Rhinolophus ferrumequinum: one gene and its partner. The protein of the gene in region 1 interacts with the protein of each later gene in a pairwise test. Links are inferred from orthologs where the notes say so. Each region holds a gene or a part of one and is shown on either strand. Other genes may lie near its edges. The genes, in order: PAK2 and RHOJ.

Region 1 (3,918 bases):
TCTATTAAACACTTAAGCACTATATTTGCTGAGTACTTTACCTGCATTATCTCATTTGCCCTACATAACCCTATGAAATTTGTTATTATATTATTATTATTATTCCCATTTTACAGATGAAAAAAATCAAGTCTTGAAAAAGAATGTGTATCTTGCCCAGGATCAAGCAGAAGAGCCAGGATTCCAACCCAGGTCTCCGGCTCCTAACCGCCTTAACCACCTGGGGTACGTGGGACAAGCATTAACTTACCTCGGAGATACTAGTAAGCTAGAATGCAAATCCCGTGTGAGTGTTCAGATTGACTACTCTTAATCAGGTTAGTGATCCTAAAATGAAGATGCAGTGTCACTCAATTCTGATCACAGAAGAAAACAATCAGTATTTCTTCATGGCAATAGGAGCTATTTTTTCCTTCTCTTTCTGCTTCTGCCAAGGTACAAGAAGGATAGGAGAGACAACTGAGATCTGTGAGTAACGTAACACCTTCCCTCTGATTAATCTGAAATCAATTAGCCCTCCAACTAACTGAAAGGGCTTTGGAAAATAAATTGATCAGAAACTTGAAGACTTAAAGCCTTAAATAAGGCCCACTTTCAAGTTTTCATCAAAAGTACAAAATATAGAATTCCAAAAGGAACATTGTATTTTAATATTAGAATAATCAATATTGACAGATTAAGCATAGGAAGGATTTAACAGTACCTACTTATTTTATCCTTAGCTATTTGAACAAGATCTCTTTTAAAAAAAGTATAATTGCAAGTTTATCCTTGGCTACCTGAACAAGTTCTAAGTTTTCTCTTTTAAAAAGTATAATTGAAAAGAAATATACACCACTGTTAACCACATCTTGGAAACGGGCCTATCGTAAGCATCAGAGAAACATAGGAACCCCTATTCATTTGTTTAGTAGATATACTCCAACTACAAACTTACTGTCGCTTTATGAATTTGAATTCACAAGGTTAGTATTCAATGTCACAAAGTCCAGAACAACTCTTTCTTTGAATAACTGGTAAGCAGGAATCAAGGCCCTAAGTGAAGCACAATACCCAGGAGCTCTTCCTTAGTAAAAGTATCGGCTTATGGAAAGAACTGGCAGAGAAGCTCTCATCACAGACCAAGTTTCACTCTAACATTACTATATCTTAACACCTTAGGCTAAGCAGACCTCCCATGAAGTTAAGGACAACTGACACTACCAAATGTTGACAGTATTGAAGCTCAGTACTAAGCAATTTTGGTAACAATGTACTATTTAGTGGAAACAAAAAATTCACTGAATTTAGGTTAACCTCTTTCACCAAAACCTGAAAGTGGGTTTAAGACCTCCATATATTACAGGTCAAAAACATTTTGAGGTTCACTTTTCACACCGTAAATCAGTGTTCTTGGCTAATTAATAGGTAGAAAGGTTTAAAAGCCGATGATGAAAGAACTGCCTTAAATCAATACCCTTAACAGAATATACACAAAGCTTTTCATTTATATGTATTTTTTCATATATATAAAATATATAGAAGTGACTACGAGTGTGTTTTACGAATGCCACAGAACTTCTGGCAAAGCTGACAAGTTCTAACCTGCTTTAAAAATTACTATTCACTGCCTTCATCTCAATCTTACTTCATTTAATGTTATTCTTTTGGATAACCCTACAAAAACAAAACCCCCAGAGCAAATTCTTGTATATTTCAATATCCTGCCTACTTATAAGAGCGGAAGAGTCAAACAGAGCAGGGGGAAAAACGTGACGTGCACAACCTTGATCCAAAACACAGCTTCTCGGAGTCTAATTTTAGGCCTAAGCATTTTAATTGTCTTTTTACACAGGTTAAAAAAGAAAACTATAGATCACTTGTGAAGTGGAACTGTGATAATTGTGTCAATGGGAGTTGACAATATTTATCAAGGAGGAAACAAATCACGCTCACACTGCCCAGAGTAACCCCATTAAAATTAAGATACAAGAATGGGCACAACCCCACACCAACTGACAATGGCAATTACTTTTCACACTTCAGTTACTGAATGACTTTATCTTTAAAGAATTGGCCAAAAGTTGAGCCCACGGAGGAATTTGTGGGAGCGTTTTGTATGTGTGTGCAGTTTTAAAGAAAGCCAAACATGGTTAAAAGTCAATTTTCACCTAAATTACCTAAAGAAGCAAATATTCACCTCCTGGCTGAAGATCAAATAAGAATCACGAGAAGATCCGAAAGTTCTGAAGTGGAGGCCCTCAAACCCCAGGAAAACTGTACGTTTTTACTAATGTGAAATATGGAAATTACAGATTATACTTTAGAAAGAGTAAAGAGCCTTAGACAATATGCTTGAGCAGTGAAACGGGATGAACAGAGGGGTAGAAAGGAGGAGCTGGGACTCAGTGAGAGAGGAAAAAATCGGGAAATAAAACTCAAGACGTCTGGTTGAAAATTAAAGTAAACGGAGAAAAAGGAGGAGGTTGAAACGCAACGGAAGGCAGACAGAGACAGGGCAGAATCCGTGGCGACACGGTTTAGGGCAGGGCTGGGTTCAGGAAGAGTGAGACCTCACCTGCCCAGCCAGCTTCCCATTTCGGGCTTAAAACGGAGAAAACAGCCCTAGGGAGCAGACAATGAGCCACCGCCCCAGAAGTCGCGGCTGCAGGCACGCAGGTGGCGGCTGCCCCGGCCCTGCGCGGGGCAGGTCGGCTGCTCCGGGCCGCTCGAGCCTGCCAGGCCGCGGAGAAGGAAGAAGGAAGGAGAGAGATGGCCCGCGTCCCGGCCTGTCTGCACACTTACCCCAGGCGAGGAAAGGTCCCCGCCCCAGCGAGGCGCCTCCGTCCGAGCTCCCGGCGGGGTCCGGAGCCGCCCTGGGCAAGCGCGCGGCTCGCGGCGGGAAGGAGACGGAAGGGGAAGGGGGACGAGAAGAGGAGCCGCGCTGTAGCGCAGCCGCTGCTACCGCTAGGCCGAGCGGCAGCCGAGCCCCGCAGGCGCCGGGAGGGGAGGGCAAGGAGCCTTCGGCAATGGCGACGGCCCCGGCCGGAGGGGAAGCGGAACAACCGCCGCCGCTGCGCGTGGCCACAACCCTGGGGGAGGGCGACGGCGGGGAGCAAGGAGGAGCGAGGCCACGGTACCACCCCTCCCCACCCGAAGCCTGGAGCTCCACGGGGCGGAGACGGGCACCGCTCTCCAATGGGCGGGACTCGCGTGGGGCCTGCTGGGAGTTGTAGTTTGGAGATGTGTACTGCCTCCCTCTCCCTCTCCCTCGTCTTCTAGCCTCCCCCTCCTCTTTTGGTCTTTACATTAAGAGCACGCCAGTCCTTCACTTAATTCAGCATTGTCTCCAGGTCTGTGCTAACCAAAGATGCTGACAGATATTACTGTTACATGAATCTGCTCCAGGACATTTGTTTCTGGGAACTCATCCATTATCCATTTTGCTTTTTACCTACAGACTTACTATTATTTTGCTGCTAAATTGAGCTCCACCTCCTTACAAATTGAAGTGTCCATGTTTTATCCTTGGAGGCGTTATCAATGTATTCACTAATTCTATGAATATTTGAGTGTCTACTATGTACCAAATACTGTTAAGGCATCAGGGATACAAGGGTGAACATGACTCACTTTGCCTTTGTGGAGCTTACAAATATGAAAACACAATAATTAAAATAATGATGTCTGGTATAAGGAAAAAACTGGGGAGGTTTCTTTGGATGGGGTGACCACAGAAGCCAAGGAGGTGACATTTAAGCCAAGAACAGAGCGAACTAAGAGAAGCACCCGGAAAAAGATTACAACCAGAAGGAGGAAGAAAAGGGCTTGCTAAGGTCAGTTAAGAAGGCCTTGTAGCTGGAGCTTAGGGCAAGGAGGACAGTGTAGAATGAAAACATTAGAGCAAACAAGACTCAGGTCAGGAAGGATCTTGAAGGC
Region 2 (3,918 bases), on another chromosome or scaffold:
AGATAATAAATATGTACACAATTGAAATATAAAAAAATTTGACCCTAGTGGAATCTCGTAGTGCTTCAGCCTTTGATCTTTAATATGTATTTTTTTTTTAATAGGCTGACTTTATCTCTAAAGATGGTTTTATTCTCTTTATCCCTGACATTACATTGTAATTGGTTCACCCAATAGATAGGGTGAGACACGTAATTTTCAAAAGCACTTGAAACCTCTCCTTTTAGTAGATTTTAGGTTTCATATTTGATCTATTATAAATGTTTTTGAAATTAGGTACCAGCCAGGTTCCCTTTCCTGGAGGAAAGAGGGTGTAGAATAAATAAATTTTGCTAAGATCTTTACAGGTCAAGTAGCCTAGTAATTTTCTTAAGTCGCAGACACCCTAATGTTATAATTTGCTTTTTTTTTTTTTTTTTTTTTTTAAAGGTAAAAGTCTACCTGTTCTTCTCTTTATTCTGTTCTCATAAAAATTTTCTTCTCTGGGCACAGTCATTATATTTTCAGAACAGCTGAAGGGAGCCAACATTCAAATTTGCTCTTAATTTCTACAAATATAGAAAAACCTGCTGGGAAATGGATACTATGATTCTCTCCCTGTCTGCTATGTAATATTATCATAAATCATGTAAATGTAGGAGGAGGAGGGGACTTAGGTGATTGTTTAGCTCTGGAAAAGAAGCTACTTCCTGCAGAAAGAGGATTTCAAAAGGCCACATAACAAAGCCAGCACTCACACAGGTTTCCTGTGGGTCGTTTCCCTTTTGCTGAATCTCACCCGAAGCCAAGGTGACGGAAGAGACATTTTCCTCTTACAAAATCTCAAATCTCAGATAATTTATCGAGCTGATCACTATGTTCAAAAAGTTATAAAATCTAGGCTATTGTGAACTTCTGAAGAATTTTATGAACTTTTAAGAAGTTAATAAGATTTGTTTTGGAAATTAAGAGAAAAAGTAAGAGTCAAAATGGAAAAACTTAGATAAGCTATCACACTGATAAGCTATCACACTACAAACTTTAGAACACTGGAAAACTATATACCTGAAAGAATTAAGTTGTGACTATAGTATCTTAACTGCCATGATTTAAAACATTTTATCCCCAATTTTGTCCTTTTGGGACATACTTGAAAATGTTTCAAATTTGATTTTTAATCTTTATTTTTACTTTTAAAAACCTATAAAAATGTTTCTTTTCCTTCAAAATACAGATTGCCTAATAGATATTTAAAACCTTTTAATACTTCCCCCCCATGCATAACCCCAAGAAAATGAAAGTGCAGTAGTAATAGTACATCACCAATTAATATAGAAAAATGAAGGTTCTAATGTTTATTAATCTTAGCATTTTCATTTATGAATGGCCTGAAATGAATATAGGAAAAGTGGCACGAACTCTTGTTTCGCCTGTTATTGTGGTTAGTGGTGATTTTTTTTTTTTTTTGGTAAAAATTGTGGTATAATTACACTACATTTTAAAATGTTCACAATAAAAAGTTGATAAATATGAGGCAAATGGCCCCAAAACCCAGAGGACATTTCAGGGTATTTCCCCCATGTTATTCACTTGATTTAAGAAGGGAAAAGTGTTACAGTACAAATTGATGTACAAATTGTTCTAATAATTCCAGCAAAGCCCTTGGCTGTATGTTATGCTAAGCTACCTGGCTAGTTCTAGGCCCGTACCCAATAGTGACGTTAGACGCGAGCTAGGCCCCTGTGAAGTTGGGTGTCGCCCCCGTATCACTCACCCGGTCTGCAGGGGTAGGTTTTCCGCCTTTTCTTACCTGCATAGTGGTCAAACACGGTGGGCACATACTCCTCTGGGAAGGCATCATTGGCGTAGCTCATCAGCAGGCAGGTTTTCCCCACAGCACCGTCCCCCACCACCACACACTTCAACATCTTCTTCTCTTCTTCGGTGCCCCCGCAGCTGCAGCTGCTGTCATTTCCCTCCTTGCAGTTCATTCTTGCGGCTCCAGCTGTGGTGACTGAGCTGCTGCTGTTGCTTCTCCTGCTTCTCGCAAAGCCCATGGAGCAGCGGGCAGCCAGCGGCAGGCTTGAGATCACTTTGCCTTACTTTGGGTACCTGGGATCATACAAATTCGTCCTTGGCAGCTGGCATATGCCCTCTTGCTTATCATACTGGTAAGGAAAGTTAACACACACACTGACTTGGGAGAATTATTCAAAGGGACTGTCCCTTTTCCCTATCAGTTTGAGTTAAGAAACCCTCATTTTCACTGAATTCTAGGGATTTCCTGCCAATCTGGAAATTTCAACAGCTTGAGGGTTTCACTCTGCTCTCCCCCTTTCCAGCCTGGCTGAAGACACAGTGGAAGTTTGCTGAATCTTCCCCATTTTCCACTTCACATCTAACATGGAGGAAAGCTGGGCTTTTTAATGGAGTTTTCCCCTTGCTTCCTCCAGCTTGCCGAGTGTCAGGAAATCATGGGTTTCCTGCTGCATTCCATATTAGGATCAGTGGGCTGGGGAAGGCTGCAACAATGGGAGCTCTGTGTGTGTGTGTTTGTACTTCTGGGGAACGCTGCCAGAACATGGAGTGGGAAAACACTAGGGGTCCCAAAGCAGACTCAAGCTGTCAGGCTTCCTGTTTCGCGTCCGCTGCTGGGGGGGCTGTTTGCCTGTGGCTGGCTGGGAAGAGGCTGACGAAAGGATGGAAACTGGGGAGTACTGTCTGCCAGAGAAACGGGAATGGTTTAAGTGAGCAGAGCGAACCACACCAGCCGTTGTAGGATAACATATGACATCATCCCTCACTGAGTCACCAGTTAAAAGTTCTGCAAATTAAAAATGGACAGTTCTTCACATACTTAAATGAAAACCTTAAGCAATTCGTCCCTACAATAAAGAAGAAAACCAACACACAAGGGGATTTATAGATGATGTAATACAGAATTGTACACCTGAAATCTATGTAATTTTACTAACAATTGTCACCCCAATAAATTAAAAAAATATATAGTAATTTGTAATATGAATGATAAATCATGCAAATACAGTATTTTGCAAACTATCAAAAAAAGAAAAAAAGAAAACCTCCCAGAGTTACACTGTTTCAAAGGGGAACATTCTTGTAGATTGTAGGTATAATATGTGTGTTCAGGATTATACATTGCCACAGTTGAGCACAACACTCAAACAAACATGTGTTCCAGGCACAAACATTTTTATGGTTGTAGCACATAAGAAATCAGTCAGATGTGGGATATTTGCATCTTCTTATTAGTGAATAAACACACATGTGCTTGGCTCACCCTTACTCTTGGAAATGCGTGTGGGGGATGGCTTTATTAGTTTGTTTTAGGTCCCCAAATGCTGCTTTCACTTTGACGGTTCCCTTTTTGATTTAGTCCTATCCCCTTGGGTCAGCCTGGCCCTCTTCAATTACAAAGGAGCCACTGGCAGCTAATTTATTTGTCTGTTGGGTCACTCAGAATGAAGCCCCTTTGAAGCTCTGCATTTAATTAATGCACTTGGTCTTAGAAAAGAAGTGGAACTCTGCAAATGATTTTGACAATGGGTCAAGTCCCTTTTTGATGAAGGAGCTCTCTGTTTCTTTGAGATTTTTGAGCAGTGATTTTTAAGAATTCAGATTATCCAATTGATTTGAGGAGGGTTTTTAATTTTTTTTGGAGAGGGTGGGAGAGAAGTCTATTTTGATATGTGACTATTGATAATATACATGTATATATGTATACATATATGTGGCTATATATACATATATATGCTACTGTATAATAAATATAGGCCTAAATTTCTTCTGTTTTGAATTATAGTAACATTTACCACAGTGCTTAGTGTCCCAATATTTCTTTCCTAGAACGGGTTGATGTTTCAGTCAGGTTGTGGTATATCTACTAGGAGGTTATGTTGTTGTAACAACTCCCAAGGC

What was found.
Region 2: the proteins of PAK2 (region 1) and RHOJ interact in binary tests that used the Homo sapiens proteins (3 or more experiments, as listed by UniProt). The two-hybrid records come from large-scale screens. The link is inferred for Rhinolophus ferrumequinum from reciprocal best matches to the Homo sapiens genes PAK2 and RHOJ.

The regions. Positions count from the first base shown.
Region 1 is NC_046285.1:50,988,636-50,992,553, reverse strand, and holds the start of PAK2 (serine/threonine-protein kinase PAK 2), read right to left. Parts: upstream 3,037-3,918; 5' UTR 2,785-3,036; intron 428-2,784; 5' UTR 251-427; intron 1-250. UniProt on the Homo sapiens protein: Serine/threonine protein kinase that plays a role in a variety of different signaling pathways including cytoskeleton regulation, cell motility, cell cycle progression, apoptosis or proliferation.
Region 2 is NC_046289.1:32,317,696-32,321,613, forward strand, and holds the start of RHOJ (rho-related GTP-binding protein RhoJ), read right to left. Parts: upstream 2,452-3,918; 5' UTR 2,037-2,451; coding exon 1,790-2,036; intron 1-1,789.